Linked DNA regions of Oryctolagus cuniculus. The protein of the gene in region 1 binds, or shares a complex with, the protein of each later gene. Links are inferred from orthologs where the notes say so. Each region holds a gene or a part of one and is shown in the gene's direction. Other genes may lie near its edges. The genes, in order: MMUT and MMAA.

What was found.
Region 2: the proteins of MMUT (region 1) and MMAA are in contact, whole or in part, in a crystal structure (PDB 8GJU), measured with the Homo sapiens proteins. The link is inferred for Oryctolagus cuniculus from reciprocal best matches to the Homo sapiens genes MMUT and MMAA. Residues at the interface, in NP_000246.2 of Homo sapiens: Lys496, Glu609, Arg610, Glu611, Gly612, Arg613, Arg614, Arg616, Ala635, Thr636, Ala639, Asp640, Gly642, Phe643, Asp644, Val645, Asp646, Ile647, Gly648, Pro649, Leu650, Phe651, Gln652, Glu656, Gln659, Gln660, Val662, Asp663, Ala664, Asp665; in NP_001362573.1 of Homo sapiens: Arg98, Ala99, Ala102, Glu103, Thr106, Glu109, Ser110, Thr111, His112, Ser182, Ser186, Gly187, Gly188, Ser189, Leu190, Leu191, Lys194, Thr195, Met197, Thr198, Ser201, Arg202, Met204, Tyr207, Ile208, Arg209, Pro210, Ser211, Pro212, Arg214.

What each region holds. Positions count from the first base shown.
Region 1 is NC_091436.1:120,797,141-120,800,952, forward strand, and holds part of MMUT (methylmalonyl-CoA mutase, mitochondrial), read left to right. Parts: intron 1-3,036; coding exon 3,037-3,194; intron 3,195-3,812. UniProt on the Homo sapiens protein: Catalyzes the reversible isomerization of methylmalonyl-CoA (MMCoA) (generated from branched-chain amino acid metabolism and degradation of dietary odd chain fatty acids and cholesterol) to succinyl-CoA (3-carboxypropionyl-CoA), a key intermediate of the tricarboxylic acid cycle.
Region 2 is NC_091439.1:19,220,879-19,225,438, reverse strand, and holds the start of MMAA (methylmalonic aciduria type A homolog, mitochondrial), read left to right. Parts: upstream 1-1,476; 5' UTR 1,477-1,616; intron 1,617-4,560. UniProt on the Homo sapiens protein: GTPase, binds and hydrolyzes GTP. Involved in intracellular vitamin B12 metabolism, mediates the transport of cobalamin (Cbl) into mitochondria for the final steps of adenosylcobalamin (AdoCbl) synthesis.

The sequences.
Region 1 (3,812 bases):
CAGAACTCTTGCAAGCATTGGCTACACTCCACATTTAATATTTAGCCTTTACAACTTTGCAGTTTTATTTCATTTCATGTATTACATTTGTCCACATGAGCGTATTGAATAGAATTGTTTGTTTCTTATCACTTTTTTAGATTTCAAGAACATTTACACAGGAAGATTTTGTTTGGGAATATATGGCAAACACAAATAGCAGTTGCTCAAACTATTTAGAAGTTAATTATCTTTCTTTTAAAAAATCAGAGGGTAGGTTATGGGCTTGCTTATATGCTACCTCAACAGTTACCAGGGTTCCATCCTCCTTTTAACTTTCTTGTCCTCTCTTGTTAGAGTTTCAGCTCGTGCTTAAGGGAGAAGGTGGACCTCCTTGGTGGCAGAGAAGGACCCCACACCTCTAATTTAAAGGGGGCTTGCAGGAGGAACACCCAAAGTCTCATTTGTATCTCAGTGGACACACATAATATTAAGAGAAAATTGTACATGTAACTCTTAATACATTGGCCCTCTAAATTTATGGTTCCACTACTACAACAGGAGAGAGGAGAATGGTTATTGGAGTAGACTGTAGTAGTTTGTGCTGCTAAATACTTGGGTATTTCACTGTTTGAAAGATTCTGATGTCATAAACAAATTCATAATTGCTTTATATAATCCCTCATACATGTGATAACATACCAGCTTCAGAGGTAGACCACAAATGTTTTATTTATTTATTTATTTATTTAAAAGATTTATTTATTCATTTGAAAGTCAGAGTTACACAGAGAGAAGAGAGGCAGAGAGAGAGAGAGAGGTCTTCCATCTGCTGGTTTACTCACCAATTGGCTGCAATGGCCGGAGCGCTACACCGATCTGAAGCCAAGAGCCAGGAGCTTCTTCCAGGTCTAGCATGCGGTTACAAGGGCCCAAGGACTTGGGCCATCTTCTACTGTTTTCCCAGGCCATAGCAGAGAGCTGGATTGGAAGTGGAACATCCAGGTCTTGAACTGGCATACATATGGGATGCTGGTGCTTCAGGCCAGGGCGTTAACCCACTGTGCCACAGCGCCAGCCCCCACAAATGTTTTATTAAAGTACTTTGTATTTTTTAAATTTCTAATTGTGACAAAATGTATGTAACATAAAATTATCTAAAACATTTGGAAGTATACAGTTCAGTGGCATCAGGTACATTCACATTGTGGTGCAATCTTTGCCACCTTCTAACTCCAGAATTCTTAGATTTTTCTTCTTTTTTTTAAACATTTTTTTAAAATTTATTTATTTGAGAGATAGAGTTACAGACAGTGAGAGGGAGAGACAGAGAGAAAGGTCTTCCATCCGCTGGTTCACTCCCCAACTGGCCACAACTGCTGGAGCTGCACCAATCTGAAGCCAGGAGCCAGGAGCTTCTTCTGGGTCTCCCATGAGGGTGCAGGGGCCCAAGCACTTGGGCCATCTTCTACTGCTTTCCCAGGCCATAGCAGAGAGCTGGATGGGAAGAGGAGCAGCTGGGATTAGAACCAGCACCCATATGGGATGCTGGTGCCACAGGCAGAGGATTAACCTACTGCGCCACAGCCTCCGGCCCCTCTTTGATTTTTCAAAGCTGAAATCCTGTGCTTAGTAAGCAAGAACTCCCCCTTCACCTCTCTACCCTCAAGCTGCCACTGGCAACCACATTCTTTCTATAGCTCTGAATTTGACTACTCTGGTTTCCTCATATAAATGCAATCATATGATATTTGTCTTTTATGATAGTTTATTTTGCTTAATATAATATCCTCAAGGCTTATTCATGTTGTAGCATGTGTCAGGATTAATTTTTAAGGTTGAATAATACTTTAATACTTCAATGTTCTGCTGTTTCTACTATTCCTAAATTCTGCTAGTAGCCTCCTCTGCATAGAGAAGTACATGTTTCCTTGTTTCATATATGTAAACTCTAAACTGAGTCTTTCAATTCCATGCAATTCTATGCCCTCATTGATTTTATGATAGACTATTTTTAAAAAACTCTTCGTTAATTATAAATTAAATATTTGAAAATGTAAAATATATAATTATATTTTGGATATATGGTGTAAATCATATACTACATATGATAGGTCCATGTTTTCTGTGTATATGGTATATTTAATCCATACCATACATTAACAATGAAAACGACATTTTTTTGTTCCTTTCTATGTTAAAGCCCTGGGCTGCATTTTTTGGCATCCTATATGGGCACTGGTTAGAGTCCTGGCTGCTTCACTTCCAGTCCAGCACTCTGCTAATGTTCCTGGCAAAGCACTGGAGGATGGCCCTAGTACTTGGACCACCACACCCATGTGGGAGACCCTGAAGAAATTACTGTCTCCTGGCTTTGAATTGGCTCAGCTCTGGCCGTTGTAGCCATTTGGGGAGTGAACCAGCAGATGGAAGACCTCTCTCTGTCTGTACCTCTCTGTGTAACTCTGTCTTACAAATCTTTAACAACAACAACAACAACAACAAAGATATTTAGCTCTAATTCGTTTCCACTAGGAGAATAAGAGATATAAACTTGATGGATGGTTCATGGATCAATTGGTTCAGTTTGAGAGTGTGGGCCAACATTGTGGCCACCTGTTGTGATGCTGGCGTCCATATCAGAGTGCTGGTTCAAGTCCCAGATTCTTTACTTCCAATGGAGCCCTCTGCTAATGTGCCTGGGAGAGCAGCAGAAGATGGCCCAAGTGCTTGGGCCCCTGTCATCCTTGTGGGAGTTCCTGGTTCCTGGCATTGGCCTGGCCTAGCCTCAGCCCTGGACACTCATTTAAGGAGTGAAGGTCTCTTTCTCTCTGATACCCTGCCTTTTACATAAATAAATATATAAATAAATCTTTAAAAATAATAGATTGGAGAATAAATAAATGTAACAGATAAGCAGTAAATATTTTCAGATAGCATAAACTGAGAATATCAGAGTTGAACATGATTTTAAGATAATATTTGCTTTTAGAAAATTAATTTCATAGAATCTTTTAATATTTTTATTCATTGTTTTATTTTTGTTGTTTTATTTAGCACATGCCAAAATTCAATTCAATTTCAATTAGTGGATACCATATGCAGGAAGCAGGGGCTGATGCCATCCTGGAACTGGCCTATACAGTAGCAGATGGATTGGAGTACTGTAGAACTGGACTCCAAGCTGGCCTGACAATTGATGAATTTGCACCAAGGTAAGTAAAGCTGGGGTATTGTCTCACCATTAAGAAAATATACAGGACCATTTTATGAGTATACAGCAAAATATAGCTAAAATGAGTTTTTAAATATAAATGTCATGCTAGATTTAGATTATCTTACATTTTATCTGAGTAATAATGAGGGAATAAGCCATTATTTTTTTAAAGGTTTATTTAAATTTTTTTTTTTTGACAGGCAGAGTGGACAGTGAGAGAGAGAGAGAGAAAGGTCTTCCTTTTCTATTGGTTCACCCCTCAATGGCCGCTGTGGCCGACGCACCACGCTGATCCGAAGCCAGGAGCCAGGTGCTTCTCCTGGTCTCCCATGCAGGTGCAGGGCCCAAGCACTTGGGCCATCCTCCACTGCACTCCCGGGCCATAGCAGAGAGCTGGCCTGGAAGAGGGGCAACCGGGACAGAATCCGGCACTCCGAATGGGACTAGAACCCAGGGTGCCAGCGCTGCAGGAGGAGGATTAGCCTAGTGAGCTGCAGCACCAGCCTATTTAAATTTTTGAAAGGCAGAGTTATAGAAAGGCAGAAGCAGAGAGAGAGAAAGAGGTTTTCCATGTGCTGGTTCACTCCGCAGATGGCCACAATGGCTGGAGCTGTGC
Region 2 (4,560 bases), on another chromosome or scaffold:
CAGGCCATAGCAGAGACTGGATCAGAAGTGAAGCAGCTAGGACTCAAACTGGCACCTATATGAAATGCTGGCACTGCAGGCCAAGGCTTAACCCACTCTGCCACAGTGCTGGCCCCAAGGTAGGTCTTTTTAAAATATCATTTTCCTTTAGTTGAAGCAATACTTGTTCACTATAGATTTGTAAAGTACCAGATAAACTAAGTACCTGTACTAACCTCTGCTGATTAAGTTGTCTTTTTGAACTAAGGGATTAGAACATCCTGGCGCAGACTGCACAAGCCGTAGATGACACAGGTCTGGAGGTTACCGTGTCCATCTCCCCCAGCGTAGAGAGGATGGCTCGTTCCTTCTGCGTTTCTGCGCACCAGTCCTGTGCCAGGCATGGTGGTCAGTGATAAACTCGGCCTGCCCGTTACGGGAGAGGCAGACAAGCAGTGATGCCAGCGAGGGGCACAGAGGGGTACACAGCCTCACCCCCGGGGGCAGGAGAAGCCTTCTCAGGGCAGTACCTCAGATGGAAGTCTTGTTTCGCCAACCAGGTGTTAACCTGCAAGGGAGGGATGGGGGGTGGGAGTGTGTACCAGGCAGAAAATACAGAGGCACGAGTGCGAGAACCAGGTCCATTTGGGATCACCAAGAATTCAGTGTAGGTGGACTAGCTGGAATATACAGGCAGTAGCTGTCGGTGGAGCCTTTAGCCCAAGTGCTACGTAAGAGAAGGGAGGGGTGGGAAGGGAGCAGTCGTTAAGGATCGTGTGTATGTCCTGATACGGAGTGGGGTAATCCCCCTAGCATCTTAGCTCTTACATGGTGGACGGCGGAGGTCACTCAAGGGTCACACACAGCAGAGCCCAGGAGAGAAACTGACTGTGGAGGAAGCAGAAACGGAACAGGAAGGAGCTAACCCAGCCTGAGGAGTCACAGAGGTCAAGGGAAGGGTTTCAGCGAGGAAGCTTGTCACCGTGACCAGTATGCGACAGAGAAGAGCTTCAGAAAGGGTTTATTTAAGCTGAGCAATTCGGAAGTCTGATGACTGCAGGAGTGTTCCGGGGTGGTGCAAGAAGCCAAATTATAAGCGTTCAGAATTCTATGGGGTGCACGTCAGTGGAGCAAAGAGTATTTTCATCCCTGAAGTTTACTGGTGAGGAGGACAGAGAAAAGAGATGGTGGCTGGAGACACGAGCAGATGCAAGGAACCCCTGTGTCAGAAGCAGGAGCTGTGTGCGTGCATCGCTGGCGGGAGAGGCTGACGAAGAACGCAGAGTTTGGAGCAGTTGGAGCGCCCTTATAGGATGCTGACGCCACAGGCAGCGGCTTAACCCACCACACCACAGCGCCGGTTCCCGGAGTGGTTTTTTAAGGCTGTGGTCCCCAAAGAGCGTGCTGTAACGAAGCCTACGACCTGCGGTTTCCAAGCTCCGGGACACAAACATCTTGTGCACAGATCCGGAAGCTCAGCCTCAGCAACTGCGAGATCATAATCAGTTCAAGGCTGAAGCCGACACAGTGATGGAGAGGCGGCGCCTCCTGCACGGCAGAGTTTGGGAGCGACTCCTCTAGGGACCACTTCGCGAAGAGCTGATGATTTGGAGATTCCTCTCTTGATCCAAAAAACGGTGAGTCAAACAACACAGCTTTATCCCTCAACATAGCCTACGTTTAAAGAGGGAAAAAGAAGATGTTGAGGAGCTCCTTGTTACTCTCTGGGGCTGCACACTTGTGAGGACAAGAGAGAGGACATTGTCTTCTTCCCGTGGCCTTCACCCATGGACACTGGAGCGCAGCCGCAGCCATCTAGACCTTATTTTCATCCCATGGACAGACTGAGTGACAGGCTGATTTTTAGATATTTACGAGAGAGAGAGAGAAAGCACTGCCAGCCACTGGTTCACTCCCCCACACACCTGCAGTGGCTCCGACTGAAGCTGGGAGCCAGGTCTCGCGCATGAGTGGCAGGAACCCGACTACTTGAGCCATCACGGCTGCCTCCCAGGGTCTGCGTTACAGGCAGTTGGCGGCAGGGGGCAGAAGTGAGAATGGAACCCAGGCTCTCCAGTGTGGAATACAGGAGTCTTAGCAGCAGGGCTAACCACTGGCCCTGGATGTAGAACTATGCTGCGGAGGTGATGGGTAGCAGCGGGCACTTGGTTTAGGCAGACCTGTGTTTCAATGCCAGCTCCATCCCTTTCTAGCCGTGTCCTCTCAGGCAAGTGAATTAATGTTTTACCCTCACGGAGACATAATCGCCACCCTCTCATTGGTGGCTGTGCTGCTGTAGCGATGTACTGCATATTAAAACCTCGGCCCAGAGCCCTACACTAAGTGCTTTATAATGGTGGAAAGTGGTTTGCAGTGGTGACGCCAACCTACAGGGCTTCATAAAAACAGGCGTGCGAACACCAGCAGGTGGAGGTGGCGGGCCTTTGCCCTATCCTGGGGATGTAGTAGATGGTTTGCAATCCAAGAATCCCCACAACAATAATAAGCATAGTGGCAAAGAAAAGCAAGGGAAAAAAAAAAAAAAAGCTGTGCTTCGCCGAGCAGCATAGGGAGTGTTCATAAAACAGAGCTGTCAGTTTCCCTGGCGCGCTTTGCAAGGGTCCCAGCCAAGGGCTCTGGACCGAAGCAGACGGTGGGACTCCGCTGAAAGTTTGTGCGGTGTGCTAAGTGATGGCGCCTTCAGCCTGCTCGCCCACAATGATTTACATTTGCACGACTCTCCCCACCCCCACGCTATAGACTAGCTGCTTGTTGGGACATCTCTTACCCTCCCGGCTCCCGACATTGAGATGTCTTTATTCCTGATTTGATCCGGTTGTTCCACTTCTTGAGGGGATGCCACACCTGAGCTCAGACCTGTGACGCCGAGACTCCCACCATCGGCCTGCGAACGCGGGGGACCCCCAAGGACACCGGCCTCTCCTCCGCCTCATGCTCCCCTGTGCTCCAGGCCACCTGCGGGGCGGCTATGCCAGTAATCCTGCCGTCCACCAGGAATTTGCCGCCAGGGCACGCTTTCGCCACAGCACTGGCCCTTCCCATCTGTGGAGTTCCAATCCCGAATTCTTGTTTATCCCTTTGTAGGCAAGGATTATTTCAGGAGGGGTAATTTTACCTCCTCGGGGCAGGACACTGAGGTCGCTATTCTACTTCTGGAAGTGTAAGCTTCATAACTGGGTGAACTGGCAGCCACTCTGCCCTGGGCGTCTGCCTAAATACACAGCAGATTCTACCGTTACCAGTCACCATGTATTAATAACTCACTTGTATCTAGTAAAACCCATTAACTCATGGCCCTACCAGTCTTCCTCCCTCAGCCCCACACTCCCCTAAATATATTTAGAAACTTAAATTAGCAGAGGTCCTTTGGAGAGGGGGGAGACGGGAGAAGGCAAGTTAACGTTCACAGGATGTGTAATTCTCCTTCAGCATGAGGCATTAAACCTAACACCACTCAGATATGTCTTTGAAGCCAATCCTTCTGTGACAGTGCAACCCTTCACACTTTGAACCAGCGAGACTGCCCTCCCAATGAGCTGTGACACTGGTTGATCTATCTTTAAGGTGGGCGCGGCAGTTCTATAATTATCCCAGCCTGCCGCTTCCACGCCCCGGGAGACAGGGAGGAGAAGGAGGTAAGGGAGAGAGAAAAGGTTTTGTGTCAGAGACCCGTGACCCCCTGTCCCCATCTCTGGGTGATTTCTGGACAGTTCCCCGGATCTTCTGAGGCAAACTTTTCTCTGCAAAATGAGACGCATTCTCTTCCAAGATGTTGAAAGATGAGCAGCCACAATGAAGCGTTTATCACACCCGTGCCCTGGTTCAGGGCCTCATTAAAGTGGTTGCTGTGACTATGCTTGGTGAAGCTAGCAGCGTGATGTATTTTTTATTAATGCATGCCCACAGCAGTGCCCCCTTAGACACATTTTCACTTCCTCTGGTTTAAGTTACCCGAGGTCACCGTCAAAGAATTCCCAAGTTTGCAACTGTATGCCTTCTGAGTGTTGCGGTGATAACCTCATGCAGTCCTGAGCCATCTTGCCTGAGATCCCTTTGCCCACTGAGTACCTGCTGTATGCGCTACCTTCCAGTTGGTCGCTCAGTAACTGTCTGAGTTACCAGATCAGCCATGGCAGTACCACGGTGCCAGTGTTGGGGCAGCCTTTATCCTATTCAGTAAAGGCTTTAGTACAAGAGTCGTGATGCAGAGGAGGCACCTGGGCAGAAAAGGTGCCAGGACGCATTACCCCTGGCACTTGGTGAGCACACTGCAGGGCATGTAGAAATCCACCTGCAGGGATAGGGTTGGGGGCCATTGGCTCTCTTGGATCACACCCGCCGTGGAGAAGAGGGGGACTCTACTGTGTTTGGAAATTCACCATAACCGCTGTCATACTGAAAAACACCGATGCTGCACAGTGTGGGAGTTGTACCTCAAACAAGCTGCTCAAGTTTTGTTGTTGTTGTTTTTTTTAATTTGCAAAATGGAACTTCTCAACTTCCCTTTGAAAATGTGAGGGTGATTTTTAAACTGAGAAATCTCAATGCCTATGCTGTTAG